7 linked regions of the Canis lupus familiaris genome follow. The protein of the gene in region 5 purifies or fractionates together with the protein of the main gene of each other region. This does not show direct contact. Links are inferred from orthologs where the notes say so. Each region holds a gene or a part of one and is shown on either strand. Other genes may lie near its edges.

Evidence for each region.
Region 1: the proteins of RUVBL2 (region 5) and WDCP purify together in Homo sapiens (affinity purification with mass spectrometry; 6 studies listed by BioGRID and IntAct, counting the BioPlex papers as one, with this or other methods). This does not show direct contact. The link is inferred for Canis lupus familiaris from reciprocal best matches to the Homo sapiens genes RUVBL2 and WDCP.
Region 2: the proteins of RUVBL2 (region 5) and E2F-associated phosphoprotein purify together in Homo sapiens (affinity purification with mass spectrometry; 3 studies listed by BioGRID and IntAct, with this or other methods). This does not show direct contact. The link is inferred for Canis lupus familiaris from reciprocal best matches to the Homo sapiens genes RUVBL2 and EAPP.
Region 3: the proteins of RUVBL2 (region 5) and ZNHIT2 purify together in Homo sapiens (affinity purification with mass spectrometry; 5 studies listed by BioGRID and IntAct, counting the BioPlex papers as one, with this or other methods). This does not show direct contact. The link is inferred for Canis lupus familiaris from reciprocal best matches to the Homo sapiens genes RUVBL2 and ZNHIT2.
Region 4: the proteins of RUVBL2 (region 5) and C10H12orf45 purify together in Homo sapiens (affinity purification with mass spectrometry; 4 studies listed by BioGRID and IntAct, with this or other methods). This does not show direct contact. The link is inferred for Canis lupus familiaris from reciprocal best matches to the Homo sapiens genes RUVBL2 and NOPCHAP1.
Region 6: the proteins of RUVBL2 (region 5) and ACTR6 purify together in Homo sapiens (co-immunoprecipitation; 7 studies listed by BioGRID and IntAct, counting the BioPlex papers as one, with this or other methods). This does not show direct contact. The link is inferred for Canis lupus familiaris from reciprocal best matches to the Homo sapiens genes RUVBL2 and ACTR6.
Region 7: the proteins of RUVBL2 (region 5) and ACTL6A purify together in Homo sapiens (affinity purification with mass spectrometry; 11 studies listed by BioGRID and IntAct, with this or other methods). This does not show direct contact. The link is inferred for Canis lupus familiaris from reciprocal best matches to the Homo sapiens genes RUVBL2 and ACTL6A.

What each region holds. Positions count from the first base shown.
Region 1 is NC_049238.1:18,578,194-18,582,287, forward strand, and holds part of WDCP (WD repeat and coiled-coil-containing protein), read right to left. Parts: intron 3,870-4,094; coding exon 2,024-3,869; intron 1-2,023.
Region 2 is NC_049229.1:13,550,777-13,554,870, forward strand, and holds part of E2F-associated phosphoprotein, read right to left. Parts: intron 3,228-4,094; coding exon 3,132-3,227; intron 1,261-3,131; coding exon 1,143-1,260; intron 1-1,142. UniProt on the Homo sapiens protein: May play an important role in the fine-tuning of both major E2F1 activities, the regulation of the cell-cycle and the induction of apoptosis. Promotes S-phase entry, and inhibits p14(ARP) expression.
Region 3 is NC_049239.1:52,582,191-52,585,858, reverse strand, and holds ZNHIT2 (zinc finger HIT domain-containing protein 2), read right to left. Parts: upstream 2,030-3,668; 5' UTR 1,964-2,029; coding exon 770-1,963; 3' UTR 727-769; downstream 1-726. Other genes in the region: delta(14)-sterol reductase TM7SF2, read left to right, coding at 228-388. UniProt on the Homo sapiens protein: May act as a bridging factor mediating the interaction between the R2TP/Prefoldin-like (R2TP/PFDL) complex and U5 small nuclear ribonucleoprotein (U5 snRNP).
Region 4 is NC_049231.1:34,429,019-34,433,837, forward strand, and holds the start of C10H12orf45 (uncharacterized protein C12orf45 homolog), read right to left. Parts: upstream 3,183-4,819; 5' UTR 3,140-3,182; coding exon 3,025-3,139; intron 2,862-3,024; exon of another isoform or gene 2,654-2,861; coding exon of another isoform or gene 2,623-2,653; intron 1,352-2,622; coding exon 1,265-1,351; intron 140-1,264; coding exon 3-139; intron 1-2. UniProt on the Homo sapiens protein: Client-loading PAQosome/R2TP complex cofactor that selects NOP58 to promote box C/D small nucleolar ribonucleoprotein (snoRNP) assembly. Acts as a bridge between NOP58 and the R2TP complex via RUVBL1:RUVBL2.
Region 5 is NC_049222.1:108,068,343-108,072,436, forward strand, and holds part of RUVBL2 (ruvB-like 2), read right to left. Parts: intron 2,491-4,094; coding exon 2,436-2,490; intron 762-2,435; coding exon 706-761; intron 418-705; coding exon 276-417; intron 1-275. UniProt on the Homo sapiens protein: Possesses single-stranded DNA-stimulated ATPase and ATP-dependent DNA helicase (5' to 3') activity; hexamerization is thought to be critical for ATP hydrolysis and adjacent subunits in the ring-like structure contribute to the ATPase activity.
Region 6 is NC_049236.1:39,612,236-39,617,037, reverse strand, and holds the start of ACTR6 (actin-related protein 6), read right to left. Parts: upstream 2,985-4,802; 5' UTR 2,816-2,984; intron 1-2,815. Other genes in the region: UHRF1BP1L (UHRF1-binding protein 1-like), read left to right, coding at 3,951-3,994. UniProt on the Homo sapiens protein: Required for formation and/or maintenance of proper nucleolar structure and function. Plays a dual role in the regulation of ribosomal DNA (rDNA) transcription.
Region 7 is NC_049255.1:13,153,241-13,157,334, reverse strand, and holds part of ACTL6A (actin-like protein 6A), read right to left. Parts: intron 3,880-4,094; coding exon 3,818-3,879; intron 3,549-3,817; coding exon 3,434-3,548; intron 3,285-3,433; coding exon 3,204-3,284; intron 1,058-3,203; coding exon 962-1,057; intron 1-961.

The sequences.
Region 1 (4,094 bases), on a different chromosome or scaffold from region 5:
TATCAATGATTCGATACCAACTTTCTACAAATATCTTAAAATGAAGATATAGAAGTCCACAGTTATCAAATGAGTGTGATATTGGTAAAATTCTAGACAAGAGGTCAGCATTATAGTAGTTAGAGTATGGAGAACCCAGAGAATTAGATCCCAGTATATAAATTTATAGATGACAAATGTGGTGGTAGATCAAGTTCAGTGGGATTAAAGATGAATTTATTTTATTTTATTTTTTTAAAGATTTATTTATTCATGAGAGACACAGAGAGAGAGAGAGGCAGAGACATAGGCAGAGGGAGAAGCAGGCTCCTCGCAGGGAGCCCGATGTGGGACTCGATCCTGGAATCTGGAATCACAAACCGTATCAGGCTCCTTGTGCGGGGAGCCTGCTTCTCCCTCTGACTATGTCTCTGCCTCTCATTCTCTGTCTCTCATGAATAAATAAAATCTTAAAAAAATAAAAAGAAAGAAAGTAAGCTCTATGCCCAATGTAGGGCTTGAACTCAAGATCCTGAGATCAACGGCTGCGTATTCCATATACTGAGCCAGCCAGGTGTCCCAAAGATGGACTTTTAATAATGCTGCCAGCACAACTGGTTATCTCTCAGAAAATAAAAGTGGGCCATACACCAAAATTTAATGAAAGATTAAAAACTTCAATGTAAAAACTAATATAATAAAATAGTAAGAGAATCTAGACTATTACATGTACATTAATTTCTATAATATACAAAAAACCTCTTATAAACTGATAGCTCAATAGGAAAAAAATGAGCAATAGGCAATTAATCCTTAATTAGCCAAACACCATGAAGACATACTCAAATTCACTAATAGTAAAGGAAATACAAAGGAATAAAAGTGAGGGATCCCTGGGTGGCGCAGCGGTTTGGCGCCTGCCTTTGGCCCAGGGCGCGATCCTGGAGATCCGGGATCGAATCCCACATCGGGCTCCTGGTGCATGGAGCCTGCTTCTCCCTCTGCCTGTGTCTCTGCCTCTCTCTCTCTCTCTCTCTGTGACTATCATAAATAAATAAAAATTAAAAAAAAAAAATTAAAAAAAAAGGAATAAAAGTGAAAAGCACTTCACACTTATCAGACTGATGAGGATTTGAGGGAAAGGACAGTCCCATAGGTTGAGGATGGGTATGTGAGGATACATTAAGTACAAAATCTCTGAGAGGCAATCTGGTAGCTCTGTTAAAAGTAGAAACATATATATACTCTTCAAATTAGCACTTCCACTTCTGGGAACCAACCCAACAGAAATAAAAGTAGGAGTACAAATAGATACACAGAAGAGTACTACTACAGCACGACTTGGAGTGACTGAAGACACAAAAGTGAAGAAGCCAAAGGCAATGTGAATATCCACCAACACGGGACCAGCTACATCAACAGTGCACTCTCAGCACCAAGAATGTACCCTAGGACCCTGTTTTGTACAACAATGACAACCTCTCCCACATCTATAGACCTATGTATATAAAGAAGTGTGTAAGATTATATGAGTATGACCTAAAATAGTGGAGGGAGCCACATTAAGCCGTGGGTTAAAGCGGATTATGGTGGGGGGCAGGGCCAAGTTCAATGGGAAAGAAAAAATGTTTATGATAAAAACAGATAAGATATAATCCCATTTGTGTAATACTGTATGTTTGCAGATGCATTAAACTTTTTAAAATCAACCTAACCTTTCTCTCTGCATAAGGAAAAGTTTCCCACAGTGAAATACCACATAAGGAAAATTCTTTTTTTTCTAAATATAAATTGCCAGGATGAGTACACTCATTCATATTTTATACCACGCATGTGATATAATCACAGTGTATGCTGGCATGTGTGCCCATCTGGTTGGCAGCCAACCAACCCAGAGAGGTATAACAACTTGCCTGTAATGTACCATGCCCAGTTCAGTGAAGTTCAGCTAGAACACCATCTTCCTCATCAATGAATTTTTCTTACCAGTACCCACTGGCTGCAGGAACTTTTACGTACAGTGGTAGCTCCTCAAAGAAGTTACCTGATAAGTGATGTGCACATAGGGCAGATCCTGAGAGGGCGGATACACAGGAGAGGACTTCTCACGATGTAGAGCATCTGTGAGTTCAGAAAGACATCGCTGTACTTCAGTCAGGGTCCTAGATAAAATTTCCATTTCCTTAGACAGCTGGTAAATTTCCTTTTCCCTTGGTAAGTTCTTTCTTGGAAGCAAATTAGGAGGTTCTGGACTTAGGGTGTGGTTGGGTGTGCTCCTGGATCTGGGCAGTGATACTGAGCCGTTAACAGGCTCAGCATCTAGAGTTTTAAGAGTGATGAAGCCATCACAGACACTGGTTGGAGGACTTTTGATTTCTTTAATAAGGGTTCTTTCAGGCTTTCCACTTTGCCTGCTGCCTTTAGCTGTTAAGAGCCCTCTGTTTTGGTAACAAAAATCTGGGGAAAGACTTTCAATTAGTTTTTTTCTGTCTGTTTTATTTAACAGAGTGCTGAAAGTAGAGTATCCACTCCGGTTTTCACTCGATGTGACTGGAAGTTCTTCTTCCAATGTTACTTCTCTAACAATCAAATGAATGGTATACTGATCAGTCTTTGAAGAAGGAAGAAATGCTGAATCAGTGGATTTTTGTCTTCCTACCAAAATTAATAATAACTTATCTGTCAGGAAACATAAACCTTTTGGCTTTTCATTTCTCTCTAATTGAATTTGCTGGATGTTTGGTGTGAACGATGGAATGACAGAATAGATAAAAATTATATTGTAAGTATTGGAAGCCACCGCCACCACCTGTGCTTTAAGATTAAAAGCTATTAGATCAGGAGCCAGAATGCCGGGAATGGTGACTTTTTTGGTCTGGGTGACCTCTTTCTCAAAGGTCACAAGGACCAAATGTGAAGAATCCAGGCCAGTTCCTGTCAAGAAGTCCTTTTTTCTTAGGCAAATAAGAGAACTACTCTCAGACGTAGCTGTATTGAAATGTATATGAGTTAGATCCAGAGGATCTGAAGAGGAAGAAACAGGAGACACTGATGTTTCAAAATTTGTTTCAGAAGCAACTGCTCCCTCATCCCCAATGGGTACTTCCTCAGTAATTGGTGAAGTACACAAATGAGTGTCTTCACCACCAGGTGGAATGGCAAAGGTTTCGGATGCATTTAAGCCACAAATCTTATCTAGTGGAAGCTCAGTGGCTATAGCAACCTGTGAGTTCACAGTGGCACTAAGGGAGCGCACATGGCTGTCCACATCAAACACCGGATGGAAGGAGCACCTGTGGAGAGTCTTCTGAGCACTGTCCCAAATATAGGAATGCAGGCTGCTACCAGATGCCACCACCAGCCTCCGGCCATCCTGGGTCCAACAGGCACAGTGAATGAGGCCCTGGGTGTCAATGTCCACTTTCACCCTGGAGCAGTCACAGTGAACACTTGGGAAGACTGACACATCCTGTGCAGTCAACACAGCCAGGACAGCACTCTTTGGATGCCACACACAGCCCTGGGGAAGGACAGGGAGTGACTGTCTAATCTCACAGATCCAAGACATCACCCATTTGATCGTCTCCGTAGTGCTGGGACACAGCTGCCACACAATGACATGATTCTTGTGCTGGACAGCGAGCAGAGCAGCCATGTCAGCTACACCAGGCGGGGCCCAGGACACCCCATATACATGTTCAAACTGTCCGATGACCTTGGAGTCCCCAAACCTGGCCTCTCCACTGTGAAGCTGTAAATCAGTTAGGACTACCTGATTCCCGTCAGTCCAGACCAGGCCATGAACTGGGTGTACTGCCTGGTACAATGCATTCATCCCTGTCCTGAGAAGTCTTCCTTCTCCCAACTCCATCCTTTTGGATACAGGTTGTCTGAAATCAGTAAAAAGGAAAGTTTTAGTGGGAGAATATAATCAGACAAATCCAAAACATAGGACATTTTACAAGACAAATTGGCTTAGGCCTTTCACAGGTCAATGTTTCAAGGAGATAAAAGGACAAAGGAATGTGACAGGTTAAAAGACACTACTGAGCCATAACAAGCAAACACAATTTGTAAACTTTAATTGGTTCTTGAATTGAGGAAATAACATTTTC
Region 2 (4,094 bases), on a different chromosome or scaffold from region 5:
CAATTAATTGATTTTTATCTCAATTTTAAAAAAGCAAATTTGTGGGGCACCTGGGTGCTTTAGGCAGTTAAGCGTCTGCCTTTGGCTCAGGTCGTGATTCCAGGGCCCTGGGATGGAGCCTCACATGGGGTTCCCCACCCAGCAGGAAGTCTGCTTCTCCCTTTCCCTCTGCCCTTATCCCCTACCCCTGCGCCCTCCACTCTCCTGTGTGCACATACTCTCTCTCTCAAATAAACAAAACCTTTAAAAAAATCAAATTATTTAAAATTATGTCTATTTGAGAAAAGTCAACTTTGTTTCTTGGAGAGACTGACTACAGCATTTTGAATTCAACAAGTGTTTTAAAAATAAACCATCTGGGGCAGGCTGGGTGGCTCAGCAGTTTAGTGCTGCCTTCGGTGCAGGGCGTGATCCTGGAGGCCCAAGATCAACTCCCACATGGGGCTCCCTGCAAGGAGCCTGCTTCTCCCTCTGCCTGTGTCTCTGCCTCTCTCTCATGAGTAAATAAAATCTTTAAAATAAGTAAATAGGGATCCCTGGGTGGCGCAGCGGTTTGGCGCCTGCCTTTGGCCCAGGGCGCGATCCTGGAGACCCGGGATCGAATCCCACATCGGGCTCCCGGTGCATGGAGCCTGCTTCTCCCTCTGCCTGTGTCTCTGCGCCTCTCTCTCTCTCTCTGTGTAACTATCATAAATAAATAAAAAAATTAAAAAAAAATAAAAGCTTTAAAAAAAAAAAAAAAAAAAAAAAATAAGTAAATAAATCATCTGACAGGCACCTCAATGGCAGTCAGTTAAGCATCTGTCTCTTGGTTTCAGCTCAGGTTGTGGTCTCAGGGTTGTGGGATCAAACCCCATGTCGGGCTCCATGCACAGAACAGAGTCCACATAGGACTCTCTCCTCCTCCTCACCATGCTCATTCTCACTCTAATTAAATCTTTTTTTAAATTAAAAATAAAATAAAATAATCATGACTGAAATGTGTTGGTAAATTTCAAAACAAACAATTCAGCAGGTTTTTTTTTTTCCAAAATTCTTTATGTCTATGTGAACATATACATACATTAAAATGTGAATGTAGTGAAAATCCTCTTTTAATTATTTTTCTCTAAAGATTCTAAATATTTAAGTTAAGTTCTTACCCTCTTCTTTGTGCATCAACCCAGGCCTGATCTCTGTTATCTTTTTCAGGATCATATAATAACTCATCATTTGTTGGAATCCTGTGTCGTTTTTTCTTTTTCTTCTTGGTTACCTGTGCTAATTTTGAAAACGTTAAGGATATGGCTAGGTATCATGTCTCAAGTACATACCTCTTTAATACAGAACACAGAATCTTCAGCTACATTTTTTTTTCTATTTATATTTTCCTTAAAAAAATTCTTAACTCTTCCTCCAAATAAACCTCTTGGCCAATTAACAAGGCATTAAAATGAAGATGACAGGGCACCTGAGTGGCTCAGTCAGTTAAGCATCTGCCTTCAGATCAGGTCATGATCCCAGGGTCCTGAGATCGAGCCCCACATTGGGCTCCCTGCTTAGCAGGGGGCCTGCTTCTCCCTCCCCCTCTGCTGCTCTCCTTGCTTGTGCTGTCTCTGTCAAATAAATAATTAAAATCTTAAAAAAAAAAAATCAAAGATAACAGAAGATGAAAAAATTGTTTCTTCACTAAAAACATAGTGCTGGGCATCCTGGGTGGCTCAGCGGTTTAGCGCTGCCTTCAGCCCAGGGCGTGATCCTGGAGACCCGGGATTGAGTCCCACGTCGGGCTCCCTGCATGGAGCCTGCTTCTCCCTCTGCCTGTGTCTCTGCCTCTCTCTGCATCTCTCTGTGTCTCTCATGGATAAATAAATAAATTCTTAAAAAAAATAAAAAATAAAATAAAAAATAAAAACATAGTGCTATCTCAAGAACTGAACTCACATAATGAGAATTTGGTCTCAGAAAAGCCACTCAAAGTGAACCAAGATCAGAAACGTTTTGATGTTATAATTGTCAACAAGTTCCTATATATAAAATGCTACTGAAATCAGAACAAAAATATTTCAAAAATGAAAAAACAAAGGCACCAGGGTGGCTCAGTCACTTGAGTATTCAACTCATGATTTTAGCTTGGGTCATGATCTCAGGGTCATGAGATCGAGCCCCATGTCAGGCTCTGAACTCAGGGTGAGTGCTTGAGGTTCTGTCTCCCTCTCCTTCTGCCACTCCCCCGACTCACGTAAGCAGGCACATGCACATGTGATCGCTCTCAAAATAAATAAATAAAATCTTTTTTAAAAAGTGAAAAAACACTGGTTATCCACATGCACTAGACTTTAAAATGTACTTATATAGGTTAATATTTAAGTAATAATATATAAAAATATAAAATTGTTTCTTGGGGTACCTGGGGTACCTGTACCTGGGTGGCACAGTCAGTTGAGCACTCAGGTTTTGGCTCAGGTCATGATCTCAAGGTTGTGGGACTGAGCCCCACTCTGTAGAGAGTCCGCTTGAAACTCTCCATATCTCTGTCTCTTTCTCTCTCCCCCTCCTTTGCTCCTCCCCACCCCATACATGTGAACTTTCTCTAAAATAAACAAATAAATCTTTAAAATATGTATATATAAAATTTTTTCTTTACCATATAAATGTGTCATTTGTGCATTCCAGTGTAATTATGATATTAAGTTAATTTTAACTCTTATGTTCACTTTTGCTCAGATTTTATACAAAATCAATTCCAGAGAATAGAGAAGCCAATAAAAAAGCAATGAGTTAGAAAAATATAAAATATATATGTTTGTATATTTTCTGTAAAACTATAGGAACTATTCACAGGTGTGAAAGCAAATATTATTGCACTAAGGAACCTTAAGGAAGGGGGGGCCAAGAGCCCTAAGGAAGTCAGGACTGAGTCAGGACACACTCTCCTTGTCGTATGCCCATGCAGCACCATGGCTGGTCCCACGTCCTCATATGTGCATTCCTATCTGTTCTTATTCATCATTCCTGCTTTTGTTTTCACATCAATGGCCTACAATTTCTAAAAGATAAAACTCAGAGGGAAACCCTAATGTCCAAAAATTGTTAGGTAAACCTTTTTTCTATAAAATGTAACCACTAAACCTGGTAAACATGCTACTAACCTGTTTTGTCTTCATCTTCAGAATCAGAATCAAAATATATATCATCATAGTACTTTGTCAGAGCTGTTCCAACTTTTCCAGTTCCTGAGGAAGACCCTATTTACATAAGGACAGTTTACAGACTAAATCATATGGAACTAAAAAGGAAAAAAACTCAATATACTCTTCTATCACCTCAAAGTAGTATCAATTCATTCCCAATCTCATGTGGGTGGAAAAAGACTTTCACATCAATGACTTACTGAATTTCTGTGCCCTGTGCAATTACAGAGGACTATAATTGTTAATTACAGTAATTAAGTGTTCCAGATCATGAGAAAATCTCTCACCTTTCCCACAAATCTAATTCAATAAAATCGCCTATTTCTAAGTTGCCACCATACACAGCTCTACCTTTCAGCCATGCAGTACACTGTGACAAACAAGGAATAAACACCTCATTGTAGGGGACTTTAAGGGAGAGAGGATAAGAGCCCTAAGAGAGGCAAGGGGCATGATTCAGGGACACACACTCTTCCTTTCTTCAGTTTTCCCTCATGCCATGACTCAGACTATATTCATGTTCTCCTATCCCTGTCTCCCTAATTCTTCCTCTTAATTCACATCTGCTTTTGCTTTTATTATTACTATTATATATGCTTTCTGTTCCTAACAATTAATACATGGAAACCAAAGCTGAGGCACAAATCAGTTTTTGGGTAAGGTACACTTTACATAAAAATGAAGTATCAAAATGAAGTATGTTTCATTACTTTCTAAAATGAGATAGGAATTTGTGATGACCAATCATTCAATCTGCCATATCAGTGCTATATAATCCTAAAAATACCTTTAAAAGCTTGGGTCTTTTTTATCCTGGGGTAAAAATTACAAAAGAAGGGGAGCCTGGGTGCCTCAGTGGGTTGAACATCTGTCTTCAGCTCAGGTCATAATCTCAGGGTTCTGGGATCAAGCCCTACATTA
Region 3 (3,668 bases), on a different chromosome or scaffold from region 5:
AGGTGGTGATCACAGGATGCTCAGTCTGGGTGTGGAATGGAGAACAGGGATACACCCTAGTAGAGGGAGCAGTCAGGAGGCTGGGAATGGACTGCGTAGCTGTGCCAGCACCTTGCTGCAGAGCTGGACCTTTCACCACAGCCCCAATGTCCTATGAGCCATTAGATGTGGAAGTCTTTGTGAACTGGAGGGGCTGCTGAGCGATCACAGCCTCTACTTCCCCACAGGAGTGTCTCACCTGCTACCCTACTTCTACCTCCTCTACTTCACGGCACTACTGGTACACCGTGAGGCTCGGGATGAGCAGCAGTGCCTGCAGAAGTATGGCCTGGCCTGGCATGAATACTGTCGGCGTGTGCCTTACCGAATCCTGCCCTACATCTACTGAAGCAGCTCCACTCACCCCAGACTGGGGCATGTGCACTCAGCACCAGGAGACTGGACTCCTACCCTGCTCCAAGCTCCAACAAGCAGGGATGAACAGCCCGGGAGAGGTGCTCTGGAGCAAGGAGAAATGAAGCCAGTGCCCAAAAATGGAGTGGAGGGGCTGTTCTTTCTCCTTGGATAAACATCTAGAAACCATGGTACCACTTCCCTCCCTTTCTGGGGCCAGGGCGTTTAAAACTTTCTAGGTAAGCTCTGATCCAGGAAAAGCTGAAGTGGTCTATGGGCCCAAGAGTCTGGGGGTGGGGTGGGCAAGAGCTGTTCCTCAGAAACAGGCACTGCTGACAGGGAAGACCAGCTTTATTAATGACAAAGAGATCCCAGTTCAGCCAGGGAGCTCCTCAATGAGAATTCTTGGAGCAGGTGGCAGGGGTCCTCCCCAAAGCTGCTCCAACTCCTCGGTGAGGGCTACCACCTCCTCGGCCGCCACAGCATGGGCTCGATGGGCCCTTGCACAATCTAGAGCCAGGGATGTGAGGGCCGCCTCATTTTCATTGCTCCAAGCCAGCAGGAACTGGCACTTCTTCCGCGCCCGATAGAGGCGATCTCGCTCTTCCGTAGCCACAGCTTGCTTCCGGGCCTGGCTCAGGGTCTGTGCCAGGTGCCCCAGGGCTGCCAGCGTGTAGCCTTTCCGGTTGGCGGGGCTTTCACCCATCAGGATGCGGGCGGCTTCGCGTATGGCACCCCGTGTGCCCAGGGGCCCAGGCGGATGCTCGCCCGCTTCCAGCACCTGGGCTGCGGCCTGCAGGGCTTCCTCAGCAGAGGCGAAGACCTGCTGCGCACCCAGGGCTCCGGAAACGCCGAGCAGTGTGGCACAGAAGTCAGAGAGCAGTGCTTCGTCGCCGCCGTGATACAAGACGAGAGTGTGCGCATAGGCGAACAGCACGTTGGGCAGCTGGAAGCGCACGAGCGGCGAGGCCCGGCCGCGGCTCAGACTGGCCAGCACGGGGATCCGGGTGGGCACGGCGGGCGCGCAGGCCTCGGGAGGGTCTTCGAGAAACGGCTCAGCGGCGGCCTCCTTCACGGGTTCCGGGGGCGTCCTCGCGGGGGTGGGCTCCAGCTCCGCAGGGTCACGGTCCGCAGCATCACCCACCTCCTCCAGAAGCCGCGGCCCAGCCCCGCGGCCCCACCACCACGGCCTCCATGGGGGCAGCAGCCGCCCGGCCTCGCCACGATTCAGCAGCCGCTCGAAGGCCACCTTCTCTGCCGGGGCCAGTAGCTCCCAGAGTCTGGAGGGCCCGCCTGGCGCCGGGCCAGGCCTGAGGCCTGCGTCCTCGGGGTCGTCCTCGGTCTCGCGTTGCCGACGCAGCCGGCGTAGGGCGCTGGCCAGACGGCTGGGCGAGGCGCTGCGGCCGCGAAGCTCGCCCAGCACCTGGTCCCGGTAGAAGTCTTCGGCGCAGGTGCCATGCGCCCGGTAGCAGCGCAGGGAGCAGTAGGGCACATTACAGCGAGGACAGGTGTAGCGCGCGGGCTGGGCCTCCCCGGCCGGGCAAAAACCGCACGGCCCGGCCGGCTCCATGGCAACGGGCGCCCCGCGCCGCTTACGAACGCTCTCAGGCCGCGCGGGGCAACTTCCGGCGCTAACCGGCTACTTCCGCCTCCGGGCAAGGCCGACGGGGCGTGGTCAAAGCCCCCGAGGACTCTCGGCAACTTCCGCCCCTGCTCGGTGGCCAAGCCCCACCCCTCTATCTAGTAGCGCTCGAGCCGGCGCCGGCGTGGGTCGAGGGGGCTGGTGCGCAGCCGGAGCTCCGCTGGTGCCCGCCCGCCCCCCAGTGGCTCCTTTTTGAGCGCTATAAAACGCCCTTGGGGAGTCGATCTTCGTGAGGCCCTACTCGGGCCACTAATTGCGCAGGGCCCTGGGGAAGGAGGCGTGTTGAGCTGAGGGGCAGCCGTTCTCCTACGGGACAGAGACCAGTAAAGCGAGATGTAGAAATAGGGTGAATATGGACTACGTGGCCGAGACTCTGTTTTTGGAGGTGTTTCCCCTCTTGAGAAGAAAGAACAGGTAACTGAGCTCCTGTTTGGTTTCCCCTCCAAATCCATGGTTCATCCGACCTTTATTTTTTTTAAAGATGTTATTTATTTATTTGTTTGTTTATTTATTTATTTATGAGAGACAGATACGGGGGGGCGGGGGAGAAGCAGGCTCCATGCAGGGAGCCCGACGTGGGACTAGATCCCGGGTCTCCAGGATCACGCCCTGGGCTGAAGGCGGCGCTAAACCGCTGAGCCAGCCCGGCTGCCCCGGTTCATCCGACTTTTAGTACCGAATCCATGCTATGTGCCAAAACACGAGGAGCAGAGATGGGATCCCTCGCCTGATGGAACTTCGTTTGAGGCCTTGATCCATGGCACCCGGGGAAGTGAGCTCTGGTTCTTTAGTCCCTCACATCTAGTCCTGTGGAGGCCGAGAAAATTAGGGCCATTCAAGTTTAACATTGGCACAAGTACAGCCATTGCACCTTGGGCAGCCATCTCAGGCCACTGTGACCAGGTACTGAACTCTACCCCAGCTACAGAAAAAAACCACAAAGCATGCCCTTATCAGAATAAGGAAGCAAGGGATCCCTGGGTGGCGCAGCGGTTTGGCGCCTGCCTTTGGCCCAGGGCGCGATCCTGGAGACCCGGGATTGAATCCCACGTCGGGCTCCCGGTGCATGGGGCCTGCTTCTCGCTCTGCCTGTGTCTCTGCCTCTCTCTCTCTCTCTCTGATGACTATCATAAATACATAAAAATTAAAAAAAAAAAAAAAGAATAAGGAAGCAAGAGCTTGTGAGACCTCTTTACTGGAGATTCTCACACCCCCACCCTTACTGAAACCCCCCCCCTTACCCCTAGACCAGCCCATAGAAACCCAGCTGTAACCCACCTCAGGGTCCAAGTCCCTGCTTCACTGTGTCAGGTATACTTGGACCCAAGCTCAAGCTTGTTAATAAACCCTTATGTGCTTGCATCCGTGTCAGCTCCTTGGTGGTTTTCTCGGATTCACAATCTTGGGCACAACAGTCCCATCCCAGTAAGTTCGACCTTCATAATACCTTGTCGTTATTTCTACATGGATCATCTATTTATCAAGATCTGGATGGAGATCCCTGGGTGGCACAGCGGTTTAGCGCCTGCCTTTGGCCCAGGGCACGATCCTGGAGACCCAGGATCGAATCCCACGTTGGGCTCCCGGTGCTTGGAGCCTGCTTCTCCCTCTGCCTAGGTCTCTGCCTCTCTCT
Region 4 (4,819 bases), on a different chromosome or scaffold from region 5:
ACCATTTGTATAACTTTTCCAAGAGCCCCATCAATATCCTCAATATTGAAACGACCAGGTGATGCAGCTGCCATTTCTTTTCTCAGCTTTTCATTTGCCTGAGCTATCTGTGGGAGAAAGGTCTGCACTTGGTCCAACACTAAGGAAAGAAAATATACTTTATCAATATTTATGTCAGTCTTTGGCCAAACATCCAATTATTTTTAAAGATTTTATTTATTTATTTATTCATGAGAGACACAGAGAGAGAGGCAGAGACACAGGCAGAGGGAGAAGCAGGCTCCATGCAGGGAACCTGATGTGGGACTTGATCCAGGACCCCGGGATCACGTCCTGAGCCGAAGGCAGATGCTCAACCACTGAGCCACCCAGGTGCCCCTCCAATTTCTAAAATCCAGGATTTACTGTAAAACACTCCCAAATTCAATAGTAACAATAGTTATAATAAAAAAAATCTTTCACATTTCTTCCATTTTAAAAACCTCCATCCTCTTCTGAATCCTTAAAGCAGGACTACACAAGGTAGTGAATATTTCTTAATGCTTATTTGTGCTTTCATATATCCTCAGAACTGTACATTCCTAGACGGCTGGCACTTTGACCAATAGTAACTGAATAAGGAGAAAGTATGGCTTAATAGTTAGATGTATCAGGTTTGGAGCTGGAGTTTAGTCATTTGCAACCACAGGTGTCCTAAATAGCAAATTTCATCTAACCATTCAAAACATCAATTTACTCATCTGTTAAAACAGGGGTGATAACCATACTATGCTAAGTACAGGGAATCAATGAACAAGGTATGTCTAGTTTCTGTAGCTCTCAAGAGGCTCAGCACATAACTATGCACACAAGGAATTCTCAAAACTTGTTAAGCCACTGACACAGCTACATAATACAGAACTGAACTATCCAGAGTACAGAAGAAGAAAAGAAAAAGGTAGTGAAGGTCAAGAAATGGCCTTTCATTGTAAAAGAGGGCTGCTGGGAGAATGACATAAGGTCATGTAATACAAAGCCCCACACAACTGCCATCACAACGAGGAAAGAAATAAAAGATAAAAAAAGACTCAAATGGAACTCCACAGATGGAAAACACTGTCAGAGCTCCTGAGACCCTGAGCAGTCATGGGGGGACAATGAACAGCTCTGGCGAGACTGGGGTTCACTGTGGAGCTCTACTGCTCAACTGGGCAAAATTTAACATCAGAGAGGGTTCCTGAGAAAGAAGGGGAGAAGAGAAAGAAAGCAAGGAAAATATACTTACAGGGACTCCTCTCTACCCGAACTGTTTGAAGAGTGGCATTTTTTCTGCAGTTAGGCTTGGGTTGGATAAGTAACCTGTCCCATATACCTGAAAGCACACACACAATTAATTGACTGCAGCATCAAGAAATGGGGGCCCTTCCGCAAACTTGCCACAACTGCTCTCAAGTCTTGAACATTCCACATTCCCCAACATATTTTTAGAAAAAGAGGCTCTCCAAGCAGGGAGCCCGATGCAGGACTCGACCCTGGGTCTCTAGGGCTGCCCCCACCCCTCCTCTTTCTTAGGCCTGGCTCATACATCTGTATGTGACACCGATGCTGGGGAATATGTGCAAACTAACCTGCACCTCTGTGGGTCAGAAATCCATCAGTGACCAATGAGTTTCTTCAACAAAGGGGCAGAGGAAGCAGTACAGAGTACAATGGTTAAGTGAAACCAGAAATGGTTACTGGCTGTGTTATACCGGACAAATTAACCTCTCGGAGCATTCGTTCATTTATAAAGCACACCTGTCTTGCTAGTGGACCTTCATTAAAGATGTCCAACCCGGACAAATGAGCCCTTGGGAGAACTTCTGACCGTATCCCCCACCCCTGACCCCTGTGCACCTATTCAGGCGCATCACTCACTACTCCTCAAATTAACAAACTCTTCAGTCCATCAGAGCTCAGAGGACAGGATCTGTCTTTCAAAACTCAAGGTTTGTTTGTTTGTTTTTAATATTTTATTTATTTATTCATGACACATACAAAGAGAAAGGAAGAGACACTGGCAGGGGGAGAAGCAGGCTCCATGCGGGAAGCCCAGTACCCGGGGAGCACGACCAGAGCCAAAGGCAGACACTCAACCAACCACTGAACCACCCAGGTGCCCCAAAACTCTAGGCCTTGATCCCCCTGTTTCCAACACCTGGAAAAACTTTTCACTCAAGTACAAAAGCCCTGTTCACCCCAAAGCAGAGCTTAACAAATATTCTTTGACCACCACTTTAGGTCTAGCAAATGGATGAGCCCAAAGAATCCAATCAGACTGACTGGATCCGAATCCCAATTTTGTCACTTTTCAGCCACATGATCTCCAGCAAGTTATTCATCTGTATGATGCACTGTGACTCAGTTTCCTCATCTATAAAACAGAGATAACGGAACCTTCTGCACGGGGTTTTTTGTGAGGATGAAATGAGTTCATTAAATCCTGGGTCACAGCAAGCTCTACACAAGCTTTGGCATTCGGGATGCTCTGGGTCTTCTTCAAGCTAATATTCACGGAGGGTATGCCCAAGACCTTAGGCCCCTTCCCCTTCTCCACCAAAACAAACGAACAAAGCGAAACACCCGTTCAACAGGTAGAGCTACCTCTATTTTCCAAATGTGGAGAGTGGAGCATCGAGAATGCAAACAGCTCTCTGTGGTTCCACAGCCATCAATCACGGAGCTGGGATTCGAATCCACGCTTCTGCACTCTCCACTACGTGGCTGAAGTCCTAGGTGACTTCCTAGAGCCAAGCGTCCCTCTACTAGCGAGACGAGGCCCTGGGGCCGCTGGCGTGGGCACGGCGGGTGCCGGCGCGGGGTCCACCCCCAACAGTCGCCTGGACCCGCGCCGCCGCCCCGCTGAGTGGGCGCCCGCCGCCACGCGGAACCGAACCGGCATCGCGGGCCCCGCGCCCCCCCTCCCCGGCGGCCCCCCGCGGCCCGGCACACGCCCCCCGGCCGCACGTGCGCACCCACGCCGCCCCGCCCCGCCCCCGCCGTCACCTCTGCGGCCGCCGCTCCCGGCCGTCAGCAGCTCCTTGGACACCGGGCCCGCCGAGCGTCCCCGCGGGGACGACGAGCAGCTGGCGCCGGCCTGGGGCTCGCCGCGGACCTCCATTCCGCTCGCTCGGCCTTGCGAGCCCGCCCCGCCAGGCCCGGATGCCGGAAGGAGGGCGGGCGGGGGCGGGGCCGGGGCCGCGAGTGGGCGAGACGCGGCGGGGGGGGGCGGGGCCAGGGCCGTGGGGGGCGGGGCCAGGGCGGGGCGGGGGCGGCCGCGGCCACAGCGACACCTGGCGAATCTCCGAGGCCACCCCACCCTGGGCCCTGGGGGAAAATGAATGGCGGAGTTTCTGAGGCTCGGCGGCTGGGTGGAAGAGCTGCCAACACTCAATTTTAGCCAAAGGATCCGGACAACAGGGCACCCTAGGGCTGCGCCTCCTCCTCATATTTTCTTATTCTTGGATTGTAGTGAAAAGAATACTCATAAAATTTACCGTCTTAACCATTTTTAAGTGTACATTTCAGAAGTGTTAGACTATTTTACATCGTTAGGTACCAGATCTCTAGAATTTTTTCACCTTGCAAAGCTGAAGCTGCATCCATTAAGCAACCCTCCCTTATTGTTATAATAACCACTTACCGTTATATTACATCCAAGTTATAGAACCTATGGGAGAAATGTCAGTAGGCACTGCGAGCAAGACACCGATTAATGCGTCTTAATAGCTGATTTCATTCTCTTTCTATTTAAAACCTACTCTGGAGATTCTTCAGAATAAAAAGGGACCTTTTTTATTTGTATGCCAGCGCCTCCCTTGTAGTCAGGCACATTGTTAATGATTAATCCATGTTTAACTAATGAATGCACAGAGAAAAGTTGAACAAATTAGTAATTGTGAATTGTTTCATTGGTTGATGGATCACCCCTGTGAAACAGAATCGTAGCCTTCAGAAATGTCCTCAAATCTCTGTTGTAAATTGTTGCCTAGATCAGAAGCACCCTGTAGGTACAATGTTGTACAAAACTAATCAACGTGGGACACTTGGGTGGCTCAGCGGTTGAGTGTCTGCCTTCTGCTCTGGTCCTGATCCTGGAGTCCTCCAATCCAGTCCCACATCGGGCTCCCCGCAGGGAGCCTGCTTCTCCCTCTACCTAGGTCTCTGCCTCTCTCTCTTGGTGTCTCTCATGAATAAATAAATAAAATCTTAAAAAAAAAAAAAAACACCTAATCGAGCTATTTGTAACAATAACTCAAAAATTAAGACATGCATATCTAGCCAAGATGAGTAGAAAATGCACTGGCAGACTGTCGTCTCCCCCCCTTGAAATAATGTTGTTAACCAGAAAAGCAGTTCTATAAAATATGCAAATAAATGTAAAACATCGTTTTCCTCACTTTGAATCTTTTAAAAATAAAAGATTTTTATTTCAAAAATCTCAATTTTATTTATTCATAAATAAATGAATTATTTAACCACTCAACCACTGAGCCACCCAGACGTCCCAATCATTTAGATTTTTAAAAGTATTATAGGTTTATAACATATGTAGAAGTAAAATACATATGACAAGAATAGCACAGAAGGTGGAGGTAATAAATCTGTAAAGATCTTACATTTTATGTGAAGTATTTTAATAGAATTTTAAAATAGTGATAAATTAAAGATGTATATTATAAATACTGGCCCAACTCCCCCAAAAAGAAAAAAAAAAAACAATTAAAAAGAGGAATAGCTGATCAGCCAATAGTGGAGATAGAAACTGAGCTGTAAAGTATAATCAATTAATTCAGGGATG
Region 5 (4,094 bases):
TCTCTGTGACTATCATAAATAAATTAATTAATTAATTAAAAAAAAAAAAAAAGTACAGAGGATATTGAGGTAGAAAGGTGAATACTTGATGGAACAGCTCAACAAGCCCTAAGTGGCTTATGTTCAGATTCTTCTATGTGACAGAATGAAGCAGAGCATTTAAGTCTCTGCCATTTTGGGCTGTCTGTTGAATGTGGCCGAACCCAACCTTGATTTACACAGAAAGGATTAACTGGCAGGGACCAGAAGAGCTCCTGCCCTGAGAGGCCTCTTACCCATGGCGATAGCCGTCTTCCCAGTGCCCGGCTGGCCAGCGATGAGCACAGCCCGCCCAGCGATCTTCCCTTCCCGGATCATCTCCAGCACAACACCAGCTGCCCGCCGGGCTGCCAGCTGCCCCACCATGCCCTGGGAAGCCTGTAGAGTGGGAGGTGAGAGCACACCATGTGACTTCCTACTGGACTGCCACCCCCATTTCTACCACCTCCAGACCAGTGAGACGAAAGGGCACGATGCTGGTTAGGGCCTGGGAAAAGCAAAAAAAGCCTTTTCCACCCCAAATTTTTAGGACTAATAAAACTCTACATGTGGCTAAATTTTATAGATATGTAGCCAAAGGTCTGGGAGATCCTAACATGCCCAGGGACCCTGGGAACCCTGTACATCCATGGATCAGCCTTCCCAGCCCACTGCCCTCAGTTCTACCTGCCGTGGCTCCAAGGCATCATCCAGTCCCAGTCCCCGGATGTGGGAGTGCGCACCTGTGGGGGGACGGGGGAGAGGGGGTGGAGGAGGAAGAACCAGAAGACACGTTTACCAGCCAGCTCGTGATAATGTGTGGCCTGAGGAAAGGGGCAGCTTCTCTCAGCCCTGGCTTCCTCCTTGGTCAAATGAGGGGGGGTGGGTCCATGTCTCTACGTTACTGGGAGAATAGCTAGTGGGGGTAAATGCTCAATAAGCTGGAGCTGCCCTTAGGATACAGCAGAGGGAACCAGAATCACCCAGATCTGGTTAACCACATCAGATCAGGATCTAACCGTGACCACTAACAATCACAAACACTTTATGTTTATAGCCTAAGTGGCCCCACAGATTCTTATTTTGTGCCACGTGACCCTGAGAAACAGGAGTCCCAGCTATTACCACCCAGGAGTGCTTCTGGGGTTCAAAAAACTCCTCAGGCCCTCATCAACACAAATTCGAGAAGGGAGACCAGAGAGGTCAGGCCCCTTGCCCAAGACCACACAGCCCAGCAAGAGGTAAAGACGTGGGATTTCAATGTTTCACAATGGACTAGGGCTGGGCAAATGATAGCCTATGGCTCAGTCGCTTGTTTTTGTAAATAAAGCTTTATTGGAACACAGCCACACCCCCTAACTTACTTACTGCCTGTGGCTGCTTTCACACTGCAATGGGAGAACTGATGATTTTTCTACAGAAGAGATTTACTGTCTGGCCCTTTGAGAAAAGATTCGCTGACCCCAGCACTAGATTTTAAGCATCCTGAGGGCTGGTACTGGGAGTAGCTGGTGTCTACTGGGTCTTTTGATAGCTGAAACCGTGTTGGCCCTTGCATGCTGAGGGTTTTTTATCGATGACCTGATGGAATCTTGTATCAATACTGATGAGGTGAACACCTTTGCTCCATTTTGTAGATAAGGACTCCAGGGCAGAGAGCAACTAGCCTCTTGCAGCAAAAGTGGTCCCCAGCACCGGGCCTCCAGAACCCACGTTGCTAGCCTCTTTACTTCTGGGCCTCCCTTATAGGCAGAGTGAACAAATGTGCACAAAGGAGTATAGTTTCCTTTTCCATGCAGGTAAAGCTCTTTGCGGAGGCTGCACTCTGTTGGCCTACTACACCCCAACTTCGTACTCCTAGATTTATGGCCTACTCTGCACATTGAGCCAGGACCAGTGGTTTGACTGCTCTGAGTCAAAGTTTCCTCCATTAAATAAAATACAGGAGAGCAGTCACAATGCACATCTGCTGGGATGGCTGTGAGAACCTGGCAGGACATGAACTCATGCATTTGCTGGTTATCTGTTGAGCGCCTGCTCTGCTGGGGCCCCTGCTAGGGACACAGCCAGAAACAGGCCAGACCTGGTCCCTGCCCTCATGGAGCTAATGCCAGTGTGCGCTGAGGGCATGGGACATTCAGTTCTAGGCCAAGCCCAGTAGGCACTCAGCAAGCAGACACTTTTATGATTTCCAAGCAAAATGCTAGGACACCCAGGAGCCTAACTGGGGTAGCCAAGCCAGCAGAAGTGCGGCCTGGGTTGCATCTCAGGTTGCAGCCTAGCAAGGTCCTCCATGTGCCATCTGAGCCCACTCTGGCACTCAGCCCTATCTCCCCCCATCAGAGAGGGGGATGCGATGGCCCCTGGGCTGGTTGGCTCTGTGGGGTGCAGGCAGGCTCTAGACCCTGCTCACTCACCAATACGCTCAATTCTTGTCACATCTCGGATCTCTGGGACCTTGGTTGTGGCCGTCTGGGGATAGAGGAAGACATATCAGAAAAGCCCTTATGATCCCAGTTTTCACCAACTCCTCTGTCCCTCCTGCCCACATCCCTAGAGGCAGTCCTTTCCATTCTTATTCCCCACAGGCAGGCCAATAACCCAAACAACTGTCACTCCCACCCTTCTTACTTGTCACCACTAACGCTGGTTGGTTGACCCCAGTCAACAGTGTCCCAGAAAGACAAGGACCGTGTCTGTCTCGTTCACAGCACTGTCCCCAGGGCCTAGCACATTATTTGGAGCCCAGAAATTATTTCTGAAGGAAGCAGCTCTCCCCACTCCCATGACTGGAAGGACAAACACCCAATGCAGAGCAGCAAACTGGTCCCTGATTGCCCAGCCCCCTTGTACCACATTGCCTGAATCTGTCACTAGGCCCTTGCACACCCATGTCCCAGAGTCCAGCCTGCTCTCCTCACTTCCCTCACTGAATCAGATCTAGTGACGCTCACGAAGGAAGGCCCCCCAACCACTGCCCCGGCCTGACTCCTTCCAGGGTCTCTGGAGGTCTGGACAGAACAAAAGGTCTCCCTTGGGAGCCCAATCTCCCTGTGTAATCTCACATTTAGAAGGGAGACTATCAGCTCAATATTATCGGCTCTGGTGGATGTGAGTCCCACGAAGGGCACAGCCCACACCTTGCTTGTTCACTTGGGGTTCAATGTTAGGGTTTGGATGAATGATGTACTGAAGTGTTGAGCTGATATAACAAGCAGGTACTGAGCCCTCTGGTGTTCTCAGCTCTCTGAAAAAAGGAGCCAGCCACCATCTCTTCTCATATAGGGGAGAGAGATGAGTAAGTACCCCCAGGACAGTTCGAGAATCCCCAAGTGTTCACAGTGGCATTATTCACAAGAGCCAGAAGGTGGGAAAACCCAAAATATCCATCAATGAATGAATGGATAAACCAAACGTGGTATGTAAACACTTGGAATATTGTTCAGCCATAAAAAGAAAGTTCCAACATATGCTGTAGTGTGGATGAACCTTGAAAACATACAAAGTGAAAGAAGCCAGACACTTAAGATCACATATGGCATGATTTCACTTATATGAAACATGCAGGATAAGTGAATTCATAGACTGGAAGTACATTGGTGGTGACCTAGGGCCACGGGGTCTGAGAGGACTGGGGGATGATGGCCAAGAGCTACAGGGTTTCCCTCTCAGGAGGATAAAGATGTCCTGGAGGTGTTAGTGTACAATTGTGAACATACTAAAAGCTGCTGAACTATACATTTTAAATGGGTAAATTGTAGGGTGGCTGGGTGGCTCAGTGGTTGAGCATCTGCCTTTGGCTCAAGTCCTGATCCTGGGGTCCTGGGATTGAGTCCTGCACTGGGCTCCCTGCAGGCAGCCTGCTTCTCCTTCTGCCTAGGTCTCTGCCTGTCTGTCTTTCATGAATAAATAAATAAAATCTTTACAATAAATAAATACATGGGTAAATTATATGGTATGTGAATTATATCTCACTAAGGCTGTTAAAAATCTGGGTGGTGTGGGGATCCCTGGGTGGCTCAGCGGTTTAGCGCCTGCCTGTGGCCCAGGGCCTGATCTTGGAGTCCCACATCGGG
Region 6 (4,802 bases), on a different chromosome or scaffold from region 5:
ATGGTTGATTTCCAGCTATCCTGAAGTCACCAAACCCTGAACACAGAGCTGGGAAGAAATGCATGTAATTGGTTCTCATGACCCTGTAGGAGCCCACTTTCAGCACAAGACTGTTCAGTAAAAATTCTGAGTCTAGTCACTTCATACCATGCTCTCTCCCCTACCAGATTTTAGCTCAAGTAATCTCAAGCATATATTACTTTTGTTAAAATACAATTCAACTGAGTAAATTTAATTGGCTTTACTGAAAGATTCATGAACCAGGCAGTATCCAATCTAGCCAACTAAGGGGAATTCTAAGTAGAGAAATTGTACAAAAATGGAAGTAGGTGGAGGCCACTGCAGAGCTTGAACTCAAGACTCTGTGATCAAGATCTGAGCTGGGATCATATCAGACACTTAACCAACAGAGCCACCCAGGTGCCTCCTAAAATGACCTTTCTTATGTGAAGGAAGTGGTGTCTTTTTCCAGGGACCCTTGACTCCTGCTTATATAATTTTAAAAGAATTAAAAATATGACTCTGTTACAAGTATATAATAAACATGTGCAACAGTTTTAAGTCCTATTAATGAGTGAACTAGCTCTAACTCCTATTTTATTGGCTTTTACATTAATATGAGTTGATAAATCTTTGGTGCATATCCATTATACATCTGTATGACAGTCATGTTTTTTAACTTTTAAAAATTATACTTTGATAATTAAAAAGCAATTAAGAAAAATGTAAAGGGGTGTTGGGTGGCTCAGTTAAACATCTGACTTGGGCCCAGGTCATGATCTCGGGATCCTGAGATTGAGCCCCATGTTGAGCTCCCTGCTCAGTGGAGGAATTTGCTGGTCCCTCTGCCTTTGCCCTGCATGTTTTCTCTCTCAAATAAACAAATAACATCTTAAAAAAAAAAGATGTGAATTTATTTAAACCACTGAATTTATAGTGTTATTTTTTTAAAGATTTTATTTATTTATTCATGTGAGACACACAGAGAGAGAAGCAGAGACACAGGCAGAGGGAGAAGCAGGCTCCATGCAGGGAGCCTGACATGGGATTCCATCAGAACCCCAGGATCACGCCCTGAGCCGAAGGTGGCGCTAAACCGCCGAGCCACCCAGGGGTCCCTTATAGTGGTTTTGACATATGTTCCCTCAATCCAGGGACAGAAAAATTGCAAATGTATTTCTCAATAAAAAGATATTGGTACAAATCAGTAAAAACTCATTAAAAAACACAAGCTTAAGGCAGAGTCAGTTGCCCACAGCAAACCAAGACCTAAGTACAGCTTCAACCTCTTTAGGTGTGGAATTTTAAGCCAATTAGCCTGGAATTTTCTGGTCTGCATCAATTAGGTAATCTGTCACATGGTCCCTCCTCATCCCAACATCCCTCCCAAAGGAAAATAAGGTAATCCACCTAATAGGGCTCTTGGCCTTTCCCCCTAAATGAAGGTGACCTTGCCTGAAACAGTCTTTTGTCTTTCTTTCTTTTCTTGCAATAACGTCCTGTAAATTCCTTCTTTTTATTTACTTATTTATTTATTTATTTATTTATTTATTTATGATAGACACAGAGAGAGAGAGAGAGAGAGGCAGATACACAGGCAGAGGGAGAAGCAGGCTCCATGCCGGGAGCCCGATGTGGGACTCGATCCGAATCTCCAGGATCGCGCCCTGGGCCAAAGGCAGGCGCCAAACCGCTGAGCCACCCAGGGATCCCCTGTAAATTCCTTCCTATAAATACTTTCCATTTTGTACAATTCCTTCCTTGGGAGTTCCCTCTACTTGCTATGTGGGATGATCCCAATTAATGAATTGCTTAATAAAGACAAATTCTCGATTTGCTTAGTTGAATTTTTTTAAACTATACTACAACTATAGTTATTAAGCTGTGAGATTCTTTAATACTTACAACTTGGAAAAGGAATCTGTGTTTTGTTCTAGCCACGACATTAGGCCACTTGCCATTTATAAGCCATGAGCTTTGACACTTCCACCTGCCTGGAACATACTCTTCCTGCTAGTGAATTAATTCCATCATATTGTGTCTGGCACTCTTTCAAGTAGTCTAGTACTTACTTAACCTTCATTAGCTTGGTTAATCCTCACAACAACCATCATGGAGCCTGAGAGGTTCCATACTGTTCCTACGATTCCATTGTTAAAAAATCTGCAGAGCTACGTTTTACATCCAAATCTTGAATTTCAAGGTCAATGCATTAAGCTAATTCAGTCTCATCTTTGAAATAACATCTCTACTGTAAATCTGCCTTTGACCTAAGGTAGAACAAATCACTCCTTCTTCGTGGGCTCATAACACTTTGCATCTGTTTTCAATAATGCTAATTTAATAGCATTTATTAAAGAGTTTGCTTAGTACTGAGCACTTTGTTGAAAACTTTATATGCATAATCTCATTTAGATCTCATAAATTCTGAGTTAGAAACTTAATATTATCTTGCATAGATGAGGAATTTGAGGCTGACACATTAAATCACTTGCCCAAGTTTACATAGCGACACAAAGGCCCAGGTAGCATTGGACCTTGAGGTAAGTCGAAGGACTTACCTCAAGGTCTTGAGAGTCTATTTACCTACCTAGTCTGTTAACTCTTTGATGACAGAACAGATTTGTTTGTTTTTGGCTAGGCAACCCCAGAATAAGGCCTAGCTCGCATTGCATGAGGAATGGTGAGGAGTCAAGCATTATCTCCTTTCCTTTCTTCAAAAAGGGCAGCTTGTTGGACTATGTGTGAACTACCTTCTCTCCCCCACCCTTAACCAGATCCTTCCTGATCCATCCCTCAGAGGTAGTGTTAATACCTTTCCTCCTTGAGACATCGCTGGGTGGTTATTTTGACTCTTTGAAAATGTTGCTTTGGGGCTGGGTGAGGTGGAGAGCTGTAATAGTTCTATTTCAATCATTTCCTTCCTTTTCATTGAAATTTTCATGTGAAATTTTGCATTCTTATTTCCGTAGCCACAACCTAGCGAGACGGTTATAGAATACACGATTAACGTATTTTGTCTCTAATTAAGGTTAAAAGTAAGGAAATTATTTTCTTCGGGTTAACACAGCTAGAACCACAGAGCCAGGACTTGAATTTCTGTCTTCTAATTCCCAGGTCCTAGACTCTTAAGACACGTTGTCAACTTTTACTTCCCTCAGGATTGGAATCACCAGAGGAAACATTAAATTACAGCATGGGCGTGTGTGTGGGGGGGGGGGGAGGGGGAGGAGCAGTATATCTTAGCAAAGAAGAAACTGAGGCAGGCGTATGAAGAAAGCGGAGTACAGCAGGTAGAGAGCAAAGCGAGCAGGGTAGTTTGTGGAGCAAATTGTGAAAAATGAAAAAAACAAGTAGGATGTGGAAGGAGCACTCCGTAATGGAGGCAGGAACCAGGCCAGAGCACAGACGGAGCATGTGAAGCCCAGGAAGGTTCTGGGATCCGGAGCGGCGCGGCAGCAAAAGACACTCATGCAGCGCGGGGCGGGGCGGTCAGCGCGGGGCGCGTTGGGGGGCGCGCAGGGCTCCGCCGCCCCCCCCCGCGCCCCCGCCCGCGCTCCCCGCGTGCATCCCCCCCGAGCCCCCCCCCGCGCGGCCCGCCCCGCGGCTCCCCCCGCCCGCAGTCTGCGTCGCCCCGCCCCCCGCGCGTCCCCGCGTGCACGCCTCCCCCGCGTCGCCCCGCCCCGCGCCCCGTCCGCGCCGCCCCGCCCTCCCCCAGGTCTCTTAGGTGATGCTGCAGCCAAGATGGCGCCGGCGGCGGCCACGGAGGCCTGAGAGCGATGCTCCGGGTCCTCGGCGGCAGCGGCGGCGGCGGCTGTGGCCTCGGCCGGGGCCTTCGGTCTCTCCCGGGCGTGAGCACTCACGCGACCCTTCGCCGGGCTAGTCCGGACCACGAAGAGAGGAGGCAGTGAGAAACGCGGAGGGAGCGCGCCGCCTCCTGGCCCGGCACCATGGCCGGGCTCATCAAGAAACAGATCCTGAAGCACCTCTCCAGGTCAGCTAGAGCCTCGGGCGTGGGGGGCCAGTCCGCCTCCGCCCTCGCCGGCCCGGGAGGCTGCGTGCAGCTCGGGGACCGCGGGGCCCGGCAGTCGTGCGGGAGGCGCCGCCTGAGCGTCCAGGTCCTGGCGGGGCAGGGGTCGCGGCCCCGATGTTCCGTGGCCGGCGGCGCCCGGCGCTGACCTCCGGAGTCGGCCCCCTGCACCGGCCGTGCCCCGCCGGCTCCGAGCGGCGTGGAGGGCGGCGGGGCAGGCAGCCTGCTGACCTGGCTCCGGGGACCCCGCCGGGCGCTGCTGCGCGGAGGCGGGGATGCTGTGTGCGGCCGGGTGACCCCGAGCTCCGTGCTCGCCTCCACTCGGAGCACGGCGTTTCGGTTCACCGAGGGCGCCTGGAGCAGTGCGGACCTTGGGGGCTGAGGCTTGTCTCCTCCGTGAAATGTTAACCTTGTGGTTTCCCGAATTCACCCCCGCCTCGCCGCTCCCGCTCCGGTGCATTAGAGTGTGTGCCTGTTTGCACAGTTAGGGTTTGTGTTCGCCAAATAGACTTCCCAGCTTTGGCAAAGTTCTTTCTGGGGTCGTTTTAGTTCGACATCATTTTGGCAAAACAGTTTTTTTTTTTTCTTTTTAAAATATGAGATCCATAAATTCAGGTAGTCAGCATCTGTGGTGATAAACAATACTTGTCATTCTTTCCGTTTCATAACGCGGTTTTAGTCAGAAACATGACTCAGTAAAGCTGGCACTTTGTTACTTCTGACTTCTCCATATTTGTCTCCGGGCGCAGGCTGAATGTGGGATCTTGTTTCC
Region 7 (4,094 bases), on a different chromosome or scaffold from region 5:
TTGAAGTTCTCATCCCTGGTACTTGTGAATGTTACCTAATTTAGAAATAGGTTCTTTGCAAATATAATTAGGATACAAATTAAGGTAAGGTCATAGTGGAACAGAGTGGGCCCTTAATCCATTGGATGGGAGTTATAATGAAAAGAACAGATCCATGAGAAGAGGACTGCCTTATGACAATGGAGACAGATGGAAGTGTTGGAGCTCCAATCCAATAACTACCAAAGGATTCCTGGCAGACAGTCAGATGCTAAGAAGAAGAATTCTCATCTGTATGTTTCAGAGAGAGACTTCTGGCTTTCAGAACAGAGAAAACAAATTCCTGTTGTTTTACGCCACCCAGTTTAGTCTGTGATACTTTGTTACGGCAGCCCTAGGAAATTAATACACCATCTATCTTTCCAGCCATATCACCCTTCCCACTTCTGCACAGACTATAAGCCAACTACGCTGAAATACTGGAATATGCCATCTTCCCTTCTTGGTTTGCACAGGATATTCCCTCCACCTAGATAGCCTTTCATAAATTACCAACCAGTTGAACTATTCATTCATACAGCTTCTTCATGAGGGAGTTAAGTGCTTGATCTACAGTGTTCCCTGGAGTGGTTCATGACATACTAACACCACTTAGTATGTTAAACTTTATGCACGTCCATTCATCCTAGCAGACTGAGCCCTTTGTGGGCAGGGACTATATTTTATATTCCTAGTGCCTAGCAGACTAAAGGTACTTAAATATGGAATCAATGAATAAAAGATCCAAATAGTACAAAAGTCCTCTATGAAAAGATGTCATCTATATACAATTTAATCCACAATCCAATTTATTTAGGTAATACTATGTTAGGCACACACAAAGTATCAATCTACTACTGAAAAACAAACCTTAATCTATAAGATTCTACCAGTGATGACACATACGACTGAAGAATACCACTAAAGAACAAACAAAACTTACTGGGGGAGTTTTCTGAGAGAGCTCTCTATTCAACCTGTCAGTAAAACTCTGTATTAGCGTGTTTCCTCCTGCCACTATAACACTGCCATAGAGACCCTAGGATAAAAAACAAAAATATATTAGTTCCAAATGTTTCCAACAGTTTTAAATACAACTACAACTAATAGTATATCCTCCTCTACAATTTTCCCTTTTTTAATTTTCTTCTATACAGATCTAGTAGCTTGATCCAGTGGTTCCCAATCCTCACTGCACATTCAACTCATTTAGGGAATTTATAGGACATCAATGCCTGGGGGCTATTAAATAAAATTCCAGGGGTGGAGCCAGGCAAAGGTTTTGTTAGTTTTAAACTCCAATGATTCTGGGGCGCCTGAGTGGCCCAGTCGGTTGAGCATTCAATGCAGTTTTAACTCCCATCATGATCACAAGGCTCATGGGATGAAGCCCCGCCTTGGGGCTCTGTGCTCAGCAGGGAGTCTGCTTAAAGATTCTCTCTGCCCCTGCCTCCACTTGCGTGTGTGCTCTCCCCTCTCTTTAAAATCAATAAATAAATCTTAAAAAAAAAAAAAAAAAAACCCTCCAGATGATTTAATGTGGATTAAGGCTTAAGAACCACTAATTTAAAGCAATTATTCTAAAACTAAAACCCAATCATAATTTTTTGGCAGATAGCTGCCAATATTTAGTAGAGGTATGTTTTATACCTTCACCTTGGAATGCTCATCTAGAAGTATTCAAAATTAGACAGTGAAGATTATTTAATGATTATGACAGTGCATAATCTAATAAGATCCCTGACCAAAATGACTGTTACCTTTCTCTTTTGCAGGGGTATACATCAGAACCACATAGGGACTTTTTTTCAAAATCCACCCCAAAAAACTGAGTCCCTACTTACAAGCAGTTCCTACTTACAACCTCTAATTTGCATGTATGTATCATATCAGAAAGCTAAATGTCAGCCTGCTTTTTAAAGTTTTTTTTTTAATTCTGTTAGTTAATATACATGTCAACCTGTATGCTTTCTAATGGCTAAGTTCATATTTTAAAAATTTATTCCAAATATCTAAATCCTCTAACTTTTAAAAGAGAAAATGGAATATAGAAGCACGTCCTCTGCAATCAGTATTTGTTAATTAAGGGAGAAATCTCACTAAAAACAAAGTTATCACACTCTTATAGTAAGTATAATTCAATTTAATTGCCTTCCCCCAAAGTGGCCTTGAGTGTGTGTTAAAAATCTGTGTGCACATCCCTATTGTCTTAGAAGCACCATGTGTTTGCTAGGTGCTAGCTGAAATATAGAACATTTTTTATTGCCACCCAAAAGTCTTTTTTGAAAGTGTTTTTTTTTTTTTAATTTTATTTATTTATTTATTTATTTAATTTATGATAGTTACACAGAGAGAGAGAGTGAGAGAGAGGCAGAGACATAGGCAGAGAGAGAAGCAGGCTCCATGCACCGGGAGCCCGACATGGGATTCGATCCCGGGTCTCCAGGATCGGGCCCTGGGCCAAAGGCAGGCGCCAAACCGCTGCGCCACCCAGGGATCCCTTGAAAGTGTTTTTTAATACATCCCTAGCTATTAGTACTATGCTCTAAGCAAATGAATTAACTCAATTTTTTAAGGCAGTATGTTGGCTACAAATTGAATCTAGGGTTTAAATAAGATATAATCGATCTAATAAATACTATGTATATAATATGGAGCTAGCATTTAAAACTTGGCAAAGCACAAAAAATATGAAGGTTGATCCTCTAAGCTCCATGTAAAAGTTATAACGTAATTTAAACCCACACCTTTCTGAACAATAAAAGTAGCAAAACTATATACAACAAAAGTCACCAATAATATTTATTTTGGTTTGTCACATTTTAGGAAATCTCTAGAAGAGCACTATCCAAAAAAAACTTTCTGTGATGACAGAAATGTTCCCTATCTGCACTGTCCTACAGTAGCCATTAGCTGCATTTACAATGTGGCTAGTGCAGCTGAAGAACAGAATTTTAAATTTTTACTTATTTTAAATTGTCACATGTGGCTGGTAGCTTCCACATTGGACACCATAGCTCTAGATTTCTGGATTTTTCCTTTTCTAGTACTTCATGATTTTACATACTCTAAAATAGATTTCAAAGTCAAGGGTCAAAGTTGCCAACTTAATTAAATATTGATCTGGGAGCACTCTCTTACCCTAAAAAATACCTTTATACCATAAGCAGGAGGCTGACACTTACTGGTCTGATATCAATATCGCACATTCCAACACTTGTAGTGACAACGTGACTGACTCCCAGCATTGTATTTCCTGATAACCCCTACAACAAAATAAAAATGAGTAGTCAACAGAAGAACTTCAAACAACATACCCAAGAATATCTAGGCAGTCTTATTTAGGTTTTATAATTACACAAGATCTTCACATATACAGGACAAGCCATGCAAATTATGAATCAAGCTTTCATACCTTTACATTGGAAGGGTCAAATAATCCTTCAGGAATCTTTAACCGCTCTGCTCCAAAGTCACAGTTGTATCCATTAGGGAATTCATAATGAACAGTTGGCATCTGTGCAGCTACTCTGAAAACATAGTAAACATTAAACAAAAGACAGAATCCTATTCGAAATTATAAACTAAGAAATTATCAACTTATAAGAAAGCAGAATATCTTTTGTTATTCAATATTTCTTAACATAATTTTTTACCTTTAGACCAGTTAAGCGTATTCTGCAATTCTTTAACTAAATAAATCATATTTCTCTCCTCATTTATGAAGTATTCAGTGTTGAGAAGATTAGTATGAAGGTTTTAATGAGCTATTATAAATCTTATAGATAAGAAAACATACTGTTCATCATAAGTTGAATCTGATACTTGAAGTACTGAAGCTTGAAAATCCTGGATAACACACTATGGATTAAAAAAAAAAAAAGTTTTTAAGAAACAAGGTTATGGAGATTTGTCTTTGCAATCTATACTTTTGTAATATTATATTTGAAATACTTAATGAAACTGGACCATGTTCCTGGATGGCAAAGTCCTTTCATGGGTATAAATCTATCCAGCAAGGACTCAGAGTATCAAGAAACCCAATTCTAAACATCTGCATTAAAAACTAAATTATA